Linked DNA regions of Callithrix jacchus. Each later gene encodes a partner of the first gene's protein in a complex. Links are inferred from orthologs where the notes say so. Each region holds a gene or a part of one and is shown on either strand. Other genes may lie near its edges.

Region 1 (4,242 bases):
GCACCAGCATTGTCAAACTCGCCACAGTAGTTGGGAGCTGAGAAAAGTGTCACCAGCTGCCTCTTGGCAAAGAACTCATAGCCATCTTCTACCACCTGGGTGCAGACCAGAGCAGTCAGTTCTGCATGCTGGCACTGGCCTCCCTTTCTCCCACCCCAGGCCAGAGCTGCCAGCCCACCTGGTGCGCCCGGCAGATGAGGTCCAAGTCGTGCTTGTGCAGGAACTTGGCCACCACCTCGGCTCCGAAGGTAAAAGACACGCCACGGTCGTTCTCGCCCCAGCCTTGCACGTCCTTGTCAGGGTCAGACCACAGTAGGTCACACAGCAGGCCCTGGTCAGGCACGTCTGTGGGCCGCATGATACGCCGGATCTGCTCCATGGATTGCAGGTCTGGGGACAAGCCTGGGGGACCGGGGGAAGTCCACATCCTCAAACAAGGACATCCTCACTCCAGGAAGCTGTGGCCAATCAGCCTCACCTTTCCCACTGCCCCCTTGATTCCTCCACAGGTCACCTGGGCACCCAGGCGGCAGAAGTCATCCCCTTCCCCTCAGCTTTTGCAGGTTCCCAAAGAGGCACAAAGATGTCCCCGCCCTCAGGAGCGCAGAGCTCCCGGGAGATAGACAAGCCAAGCCTATTCCATGTAGGATGCACAAGGGAGTCAGCGCAGCCCGGCACAGGGGTATGGGAGACACTTCCCAGAAGGAGTGACTTCCCAGATGAGACAGACCTAAGGAGAGCTGGCCCGGCAATGGGGGATGCGGCCAGGTCTCCTTGTCCCCAGCCGTCCCCTCCCTCACCTCCGTGGCAGCAGAAGATCTTTTCATCCACGATGGCTGCGATGGGCAGGCAGTTAAAGCAGTCCGTGAAGGTTTTCCACAGTTTGATGTTGTAGCGTCTCTTGCCTGCCCAGGAGATGGCTGTGAGGGGCCCGCCTACCCCACCCTCCACCTGGGTCCCTGGGCTATTCAGACGCAGATGGGAGGAGAGAGGCTTGGAGGCAAACCACCCTGCACCCTGCCCCTGTCCCCACTCCTGCCCCTGCAGCCTATCAGCCTTCCAGGAACTATTCTCTTTACTTTTTATTTTAACTTTTAATTAAACAGTCTTGCTCTGTCACCCAGGGTCAGCTGGAGTGCAGTGGCGAGATCATAGCTCACTGTAACTTGGAGCTCCTGGGTCCAAGTGATCTTCCTGCCAGAAGTAATTCTAAAGCACCCAAGTCCAATGAAAACTGAGTTCCAATCTGGACCGGCCTCAGGGCTGGCACTCCCCAAACACCCCCACCCATAAGCTGGGCCAAGTACAGGTCTGGTTTATCTCAGCTTCTGGACAGCTGAGCCCATCTGCAAACACATCCTAAGTGCTTAGTAGCAGATGTAAGTGGAGCCTCACCAGGCAGGGCCCTGGGAGCAAGCACCAGAATACCAGCAGCCTTCCAGTCAGCAACCATGCCCCAGACCCCGTGCCAGGCAGGGCAGGGCAGGCACGAGAATGGAGCGGGCCCTGCCTTCGTGGAGCGCACAGTCTAGCAAGTGTCTGTCAGATACGAAGCCAATGTGAGGGTCCCACTGAATAGCAAGGAGCGTTTCGGGACCCGGGCAACCCTGGGTGCTCAGACCACTCACACTCATCGTAGAAACCATAGATGCGGTTGATGCTGGCACACTCGTGGTTCCCACGGAGCAGGAAGAAGTTCTCGGGGTACTTGATCTTGTAGGCCAGCAGCAGGCAGATGGTCTCCAAGGACTGCTTGCCCCTGTCCACATAGTCCCCCAGAAAGAGATAGTTGCTCTCCGGAGGGAAGCCCCCATACTCAAATAGTCGCAGAAGGTCGTAGTACTGGCCGTGGATGTCACCTGTGACCCATGGAACCGAGTAAGCTAGATGCTGGGTCTAGACTTGAACCCAGGGCCAGGACTAGGCTCAAGGGAGGAGGGCTCCAGGAACTTTGTGGGGGCCAGTGCCACTTTTAGGAAGCCAAAGGGGCCTGGGCGAGGCTGGGGGCTGCTCACCGCAGATCTTGAGGGGTGCCTCCAGCTCCAGGAGAATGGGCTGGCTCAGGAAAATCTCCCGGGATTTCAGGCACAGACCGCGGATCTCGTTCTCTGTCAGCTGTACATTCTTGCCAGGCCGCGAGCCCTGCACTGGGGGCGCAATGCGGAGTCAGGACCCTGGCCTCTCAGACAGGGGGAGGGTGGGCGACACGGTGGCCCCGTGGATACCTCCGGGGGCGCCTAGGCCTCCTCGGCCCCTCCTTGCCCAGAGGCAGCTGTTGCTGCTGAGCCTCCTGGGACGTCGGCCTCAAGCCTCCCAAGGGAAGCCCCCCTAGTTATCCTCAAAGGCTCGGGAGGCGACTGTCGTGCGCAGGGGGCTGCCGCCCAAAACCTCACAGCGCAAGACACCTCCCTGGACCGGGCTTCCCGGGTTTCTCCCTCGCCCCAAGAGCCGAGGCAACCCGTGAGCCCCCGGCCGGGGAGAGGGGGCTGCTCCGCGCCTCGAAGCCGGCCCCGGACCTCTCAGGCGCGTCCGCGGGGGGGGGCGGCTGCGGCCACGGAACCTCGCGGCGCGTCCCCGCCCAGTCTAAGCTGGCCCCGGGGGCCCGCCCGCGCGCCACTTCCGGGCTGGGCAGGGGTCCAGGGCGCGGCGGACGCGGACCTTCCCCACCCCGGCCAACCTTCCAGCAGGCGCCCGATGATCGAGTCCAGGTTGAGCTTCTCGCTGTCGGACATGGCGGCGCCGCCGCTCCAGTCCAGCAGCTCCGGGCCCGCTCCCGTCTCCCGCCCTCCGGCTGCCTCCTTCCGGCCTGGCTCTCCTTCCGCCCGCCCCAGTCCGCCCCCGGCCCGCCGCTCCGCCTCCGGGCCTCCCGGGCCCGCCCTGCCCGGCCCCCCGCGCTCTAGCGCCCCCGCTGGATGTGAGGCGCGGAGGCCCAGGGGGCGGGGCCTCGGCGGCGGGCTGGGGGCGGTGTCTGTCGGGGGCGGGGCCGAGGCTAGTTACGCCCGAGAGGAGGCGCCCAGCTCCGTTTCGAGGATGTGGGGCCGGAAGGAATGTGGAAGTTGTTTTTCTCTTTCAAAAGCTGAACAGCCCTTCCCACCCCTGCCCTGGGTGGAGGGTGTCGTGAACACGTTAATAACCGGCTGCCCCGCACTGAGGGTTAACTTCTCCAAATGCAGAAAGGGAAACTGAGGTTCAAGACATAGCGACAGGCTGGTTCAAGACCTGGACCTCGCTTGCACCGAGGACCCCCTTCCTCGTGGGTCTCCGTGGCCCCCAGGCGGCTGACCACACTCAAAGACAGCTAGAATTCCCAGCGCACTTTGGTCCTTGGGGCATGCTAAATTAATATTTTCTTATAAGTCCCATAATTAGCTTTTTTTTTTTGAGGCGGGTTTTGCTCTGTCCCACAGGCTGGAAGGCAGTGGCGCGACCTTGGTTTAATGCAACCTTCCCCTCTTGGGTTAAAGCGATGACAATGCCTCAGCCTCCAGAGTAACAGGGACTACAGGCGGATGTCACCGCGCCCGCTAATTTTTGTATTTTTATTAGACGGGGAGTTTCCATGCTAGCCAGGCTGGGATCACAGGCCTGAGCCATCACACCTGGCCCCATAATAAGCTTTGAGTAGCACAGTAATATTGCAGGGTGTGCACGTAAAAAGAATTATAAAGAGTAGACATTACATGAACCGTAATTACTGTTGGAACCCTGAGTTGGGTGCTTTACACACCAGTAACCTCAAAACTGGAGGTGGGCTGGCCATCGTGGCTCAGGCCTGTAATTCCAGCACTTTGGGAGGCTGAGGCATAATGATCTCTTGCGCCCAGCCTGGGCAACATGGCGAAACCTCGTCTCAACACAAAACACAAAAATTGGCCAGGCACCGTGGCTCACACCTGTAAGCCCAGCACTTTGGGAGGTTAAGGCAGGCAGATCACAAGGTCAGGAAATTGAGACCATCCTGGCTAACACAGTGAAACCCCGTCTCTACTAAAAATACAAAAAATTAGCTGGGCATGGTGGTACGTGCCTGTGGTTCCAGCTACTCAGGAGGCTGAGGCAGGAGAATCACTTGAACCAGGAGGCAGAGGTTGCAGTGAGCTGAGATGGCGCCACTGCACTCCAGCTTGGGTGACAGAGAGAGAGAACGTATCAAAAAAAAAAAAAAAAAAATTGTGCTCACTTCGGCAGAACATATACTAAAATTGGAACGATACAGAGAAGATTAGCATGGCCCCTGCACAA
Region 2 (4,309 bases), on another chromosome or scaffold:
GTGATCACTAGAGCTCAGGAACCAAACCAACCCCATGGGTAACTAACTTGTTACTTTTTTTTTTTTTTTTTTTTTTTGAGACGAGGTCTTGTTCTGTCACCCAGGCTGGAGTGCAGCAGTGTGATCATGGCTCACTGCAACCTCTGCCTCCTGGGCTCAAGCAATTCTCCCGCCTCAGCCTCCAGAGTAGCTAGGACTACAGGTGTATGCCACCAGGCCAGGCTAATTTTTGTAGGGATGGAGTTTCACTATGTTGCTCTGGCTGCTTGTCACTTTATAAGTAGTTCAGATGTGAAATACCGGTAGCTAGAGCTAAGAATAACATAAAAGTTAAACTGTCACAAGATATCTTATGTAGGTGAAAACAGAGGTGGAAACTAGCAACTGTCTTATGGAGGAGCAAAGCTGACAGCGCTGGAGACAATGGCTTACTTCACCAGAGGGCCTTGACTACCCCCACCCCCTGCCTTTAGGAAATGCCGAGAGCACGAGGCTTGCTCAACACCTCCCTCCCCAGAGGCTGGCAGACCTCAAAAACCCCAGAGCATGAAAGCTCCATGCCTTCTACCCTGGCAGAAAAAGGACAAACTACACCATAAACTACACAGAGAGAAGTTAACTGACTGCTGGGCAGTTTGAACAGACCTAAGGGTGAAAACCATTACCCCAGACATTTTCAGCCTCAGTCAGTAGGGACATGTGATTTACAGGAAATTAGGAGGTTTACAAAATGTTAGCAGCTCAAGTTTCTTCCCTGGGAAAAGAAGCAGGAGAAGCTCTAAGAACTATATCCGAGAAAGTGCTTTGTTCACTGCTAAGCTTCTGACACAAGTCAGTTATTAATACCCACAGCTCACTGCCTCACACTTCAACCCACCAGTGAATGTCTATAGTGAATGACTATAAAACCATATATTATAAAACTCTAACACAGGCTGCACCAAAGCCTTCCCAAGCCCAGGACAGCCACGTGGCCAAAAGCATGAACTTCGGATAAGATCTTGGGCAAGCTGCTGGCTCTTTCTCTCACCCCAGGTCCTCCATCGTTTATAATAAACAAAATCTTTCCGGAGGTGTCTTGTCAAATGATGAGCAAATCCACTTCAAGTGCCTGGTCTTTGTAAGCCCTGTTGGTTGCTGTTATTACAGCCGAGCTTCAGAGCTCTTAATTCATATCTCCATCTTACTCCTGCTGCCAGAAAAACCTCTGGAGGCCACGATTCTGAGCCTTGTCAGCCACCCTCTCTGGTCAGGTCCAGGGCAGAGTGGGTCCTGGAGGAGCAAGACCAGGGAGGATTCACACTATCAGGGGCCACTGGGGAGTAGGGGCAATGCCAGAGCTCTATGATCAAGGCCCCAGTGGTCTTGATGGCCTTTGTCCACCTCTCCAGACTCCGCTTTGTCCCAGGCCAGAGTCTAGCTGGGCGTCCAGTGTCCATCCTGTGGCCAGACATCTAGGGGGCTTTCCCTCACCTCCCACTCTGGAGTAGGGACCCCTGGGGGCTCCCACAACCCGTGGGCTTACCAGATCTCAGCACTTACCACACTGGCTTGTCACTTTGTGCTCCTGCCTTCCCTGGGGCAGGACTGCTACCGTGTCTGACGCCCCAGCCAGGTCAGTTCAATGTATGAGCCCAGGCCCTAGTTGTGACCACAGCTCCAGCTCCCCAAACCTCCGGGAGCAGTGAAGGGTTGTTTATGAAGAGGCTGCGTTTTATTATTCAGATGAATTTGTCAACTCCCTGGAGGATTCCTCCTCCCGTTAACGCCATCTTAAGAAGGGGAGGTAGAGAAAGAGCTCCCCACCCCTCCCACCACGTCCTGCCGCCCATCTATACCCGCCGGGTTCTCGCCGAGGCAGCCAAGGAACCCAGGGGTGATTACCATGAAAGGGTCTCTTTGAGCGGCGCGCAGGCCCTCCCCACTGGGGGTCTCGGTCGTGGCCGATTTCCCGGACGCACACCGTTACGCTGGAGCCCGCGATGAGGGCAAAACGCCACGCACAGCCGGTCCCACAGCGCACCCCGCTAGCGGAGAGCGCGGCAGAGTCCGGAGAGCGGCCACACCTCCCGCCCCGGAACAAAGCGACGGCCGGGGGAGGCGGCGCGGCGGGGCCCCCTCCCCTCCAAGGCCGCGGGACCACTCACCGCGCGCTCCAGTCCCGGCTCGGCTCAGGCACTCAGGCCGCCCCCTGCTAGCCCGCGCCGGTGAGTAGGCAGCGCCGCGCCCGCCGGGCCCCGCGGCCGCCGGACTGACGGCTCCCCGCCAGCCGGCCGCTCCAGTCCGTCCCCGCCCAGGCGCCTCCTTAAAGCGACCGCGCCGCCAGCGTGCGCCCCGAGCGCCTCGCGCGCCGCGCATTCCTTATATTGCCACAGTGCCTGCTAAAAATAGAGCGCCGCGGCAGGGGAGCCCGGGCCGGGTGCCTGGACCCCGTTGCCCTCGCGTGCACCCCGGCCCCCAGGACGCGCGGCCTGCGAAATCCAGCCCACCGTGCCGAATTCCCTGGGCCCGGCAGGGCGCGCAAGCGAGCCAGGGGCTGGGGTCGGCGCCGCCGCCTCCCCCGCGGCCCCGCGCACTTACCCGATTCCGCCCGGGAGCTGGCTTTAAGGTGGACGCTGAATGGGAATTCGCCCCGGCCTCTTTAAGAGCCTCTGCGTTCCAACCTTTAAATCTCCGCTCCGGCCCGGCCAACTTCTGAGCCGACGCACGCTCTCCAGTCCTAGGCGAGCCTCCGCCGCCACCTTAGCCGCATTCCCTTCGAATCCGGAGACGTCTTTCTTCCCGATCCTGCACCAGCGTCTCTTCTAGGCCTTCTTGGTGCACAGTTCCAGGGCCCAAACTTCGTTGGGATGGATGCGACGGGGACTGGCGACAAGCGTGCACCATTTCATTGTTTCAGTTCCGCTAACTCTCTCCAGCGGCGTCGTTTTCCCCCGTTAAAAAAATCAAGATATAATTCAACACCATAATATTCCACCTTTTGAAGTGTACTATTCAAGCCGAGCGCGGTGGCTCACGCCTGTAATCCTAGCACTTTGGAAGGCGGAGGAGGGTGAATCGCCTGAGGTCAGGAGTTCAAGACCAGCCTGGGCAACAGGGTGAAACCCCATCTCTACGAAAAAATCAGCCCGGCAGGGTGGCACGTGCCTGTAATCCCAGCTACTCGGGAGGCTGAAGCAGGAGAATCACTTGAACCCGGGAGGCAGAAGTTGCAGTGAGCCGAGATCGCGCTCTAGCCTGGGCAACAGAATGAGACTCTATCTTAAAAAAAAAAAAAAAAAAGTGCAATTCAGTGGTGTTTAGCATATTCACATAGTTGTGCAACCATAACCATGAGCTAATTTCAGAACATTTTCACCACTTCCTACTCCCCAGGGTGCCCCCTCCCTGCAAAAAACAAACTTTCCCTGTCTCCCCACTCCCCCTATCCCCCTAACCCCGAAAAATAAACTGCCCATTAGCAGTCACTCCTCATTCACCCCTCCCCCTGCCTCTGGGAACCACTAATCTACTTTCAATCTCTTTGCCTATTCAGGACATTTTCTATAAATGGAATCATACATGTGGCCTTTTGTGACTAGCTTCTTTCAGTAAACAATGTTTAATGATCTATTCATGATGTAACATATAGCAGTGCTTCATTCCTTTCTGTGGCTGAGTAATGTTTCACTGTATGTCTATACCTTTTGTTTATCTGTGCATCACTTGATGAATATATAGGTTTCTGTTTTGGGGCTCCTGTGAATAAAGCTGCTATGAATATTCATGTACAAGTCTTTGTATATGAACATATGTTCTTCTTTCCCTTGGGTATATACTTAAGAGTGGAATTGCTGGATCATATGTTAACTCTATCTTTAACTTTCGAAGGAACTGCCAAACCGTTTTCCAAAGCAGTTGCACCATTTTACATTCCCACCAACAATGTATGAGTGTTCCAATATCTCCACATCCTTGCAAACGCTTGTAATTGTGTGTCTTTTTTCATTATAGCCATCCTATTGGGGGCGAAGTGGCACCTCATTGTGGTTTTGATTGTCAGCATCATTTCTGAGGACATTCTTTCTGTGGGTGGACCTCAGTGACATAACCAGCTTTACATGTCCAGGGAACCCACTCCCTTGCCAGGTTTCCCCCAGGCCTAAGGGAGCCTCACAGCACTGCTGACCCTGCCTGCCATGCTGAGGCTCTCAATCCCACACAGGCTTCCGTTGGCATCTCAGCCACCCATGCAGCCATTTGAAGAGAACTGCTGTGCACCCCCTGTGCCTCCATTCCCACTGCTGCCCCAAAGGCCCTCTAGACTCGA

The links.
Region 2: the proteins of PPP1CA (region 1) and MRAS are in contact, whole or in part, in a crystal structure (PDB 7TXH), measured with the Homo sapiens proteins. The link is inferred for Callithrix jacchus from reciprocal best matches to the Homo sapiens genes PPP1CA and MRAS. Residues at the interface, in NP_002699.1 of Homo sapiens: Pro178, Asp179, Gln181, Gln185, Arg188, Ile189, Met190, Pro192, Thr193, Pro196, Asp197, Gln198, Trp216, Gly217, Glu218, Phe225; in NP_001078518.1 of Homo sapiens: Val6, Pro7, Ile31, Gln35, Lys36, Ile37, Val39, Asp48, Ser49, Tyr50, Leu51, Lys52, His53.

The regions. Positions count from the first base shown.
Region 1 is NC_133511.1:124,477,326-124,481,567, forward strand, and holds the start of PPP1CA (serine/threonine-protein phosphatase PP1-alpha catalytic subunit), read right to left. Parts: upstream 2,830-4,242; 5' UTR 2,733-2,829; coding exon 2,678-2,732; intron 2,148-2,677; coding exon 2,016-2,147; intron 1,860-2,015; coding exon 1,629-1,859; intron 906-1,628; coding exon 801-905; intron 403-800; coding exon 179-402; intron 96-178; coding exon 1-95. UniProt on the Homo sapiens protein: Protein phosphatase that associates with over 200 regulatory proteins to form highly specific holoenzymes which dephosphorylate hundreds of biological targets.
Region 2 is NC_133518.1:45,976,576-45,980,884, forward strand, and holds the start of MRAS (ras-related protein M-Ras), read right to left. Parts: upstream 2,842-4,309; 5' UTR 2,581-2,841; intron 2,337-2,580; exon of another isoform or gene 1,543-2,336; intron 1-1,542. UniProt on the Homo sapiens protein: Signal transducer in the Ras-MAPK signaling pathway that regulates cell proliferation and survival. Core component of the SHOC2-MRAS-PP1c (SMP) holophosphatase complex that regulates the MAPK pathway activation.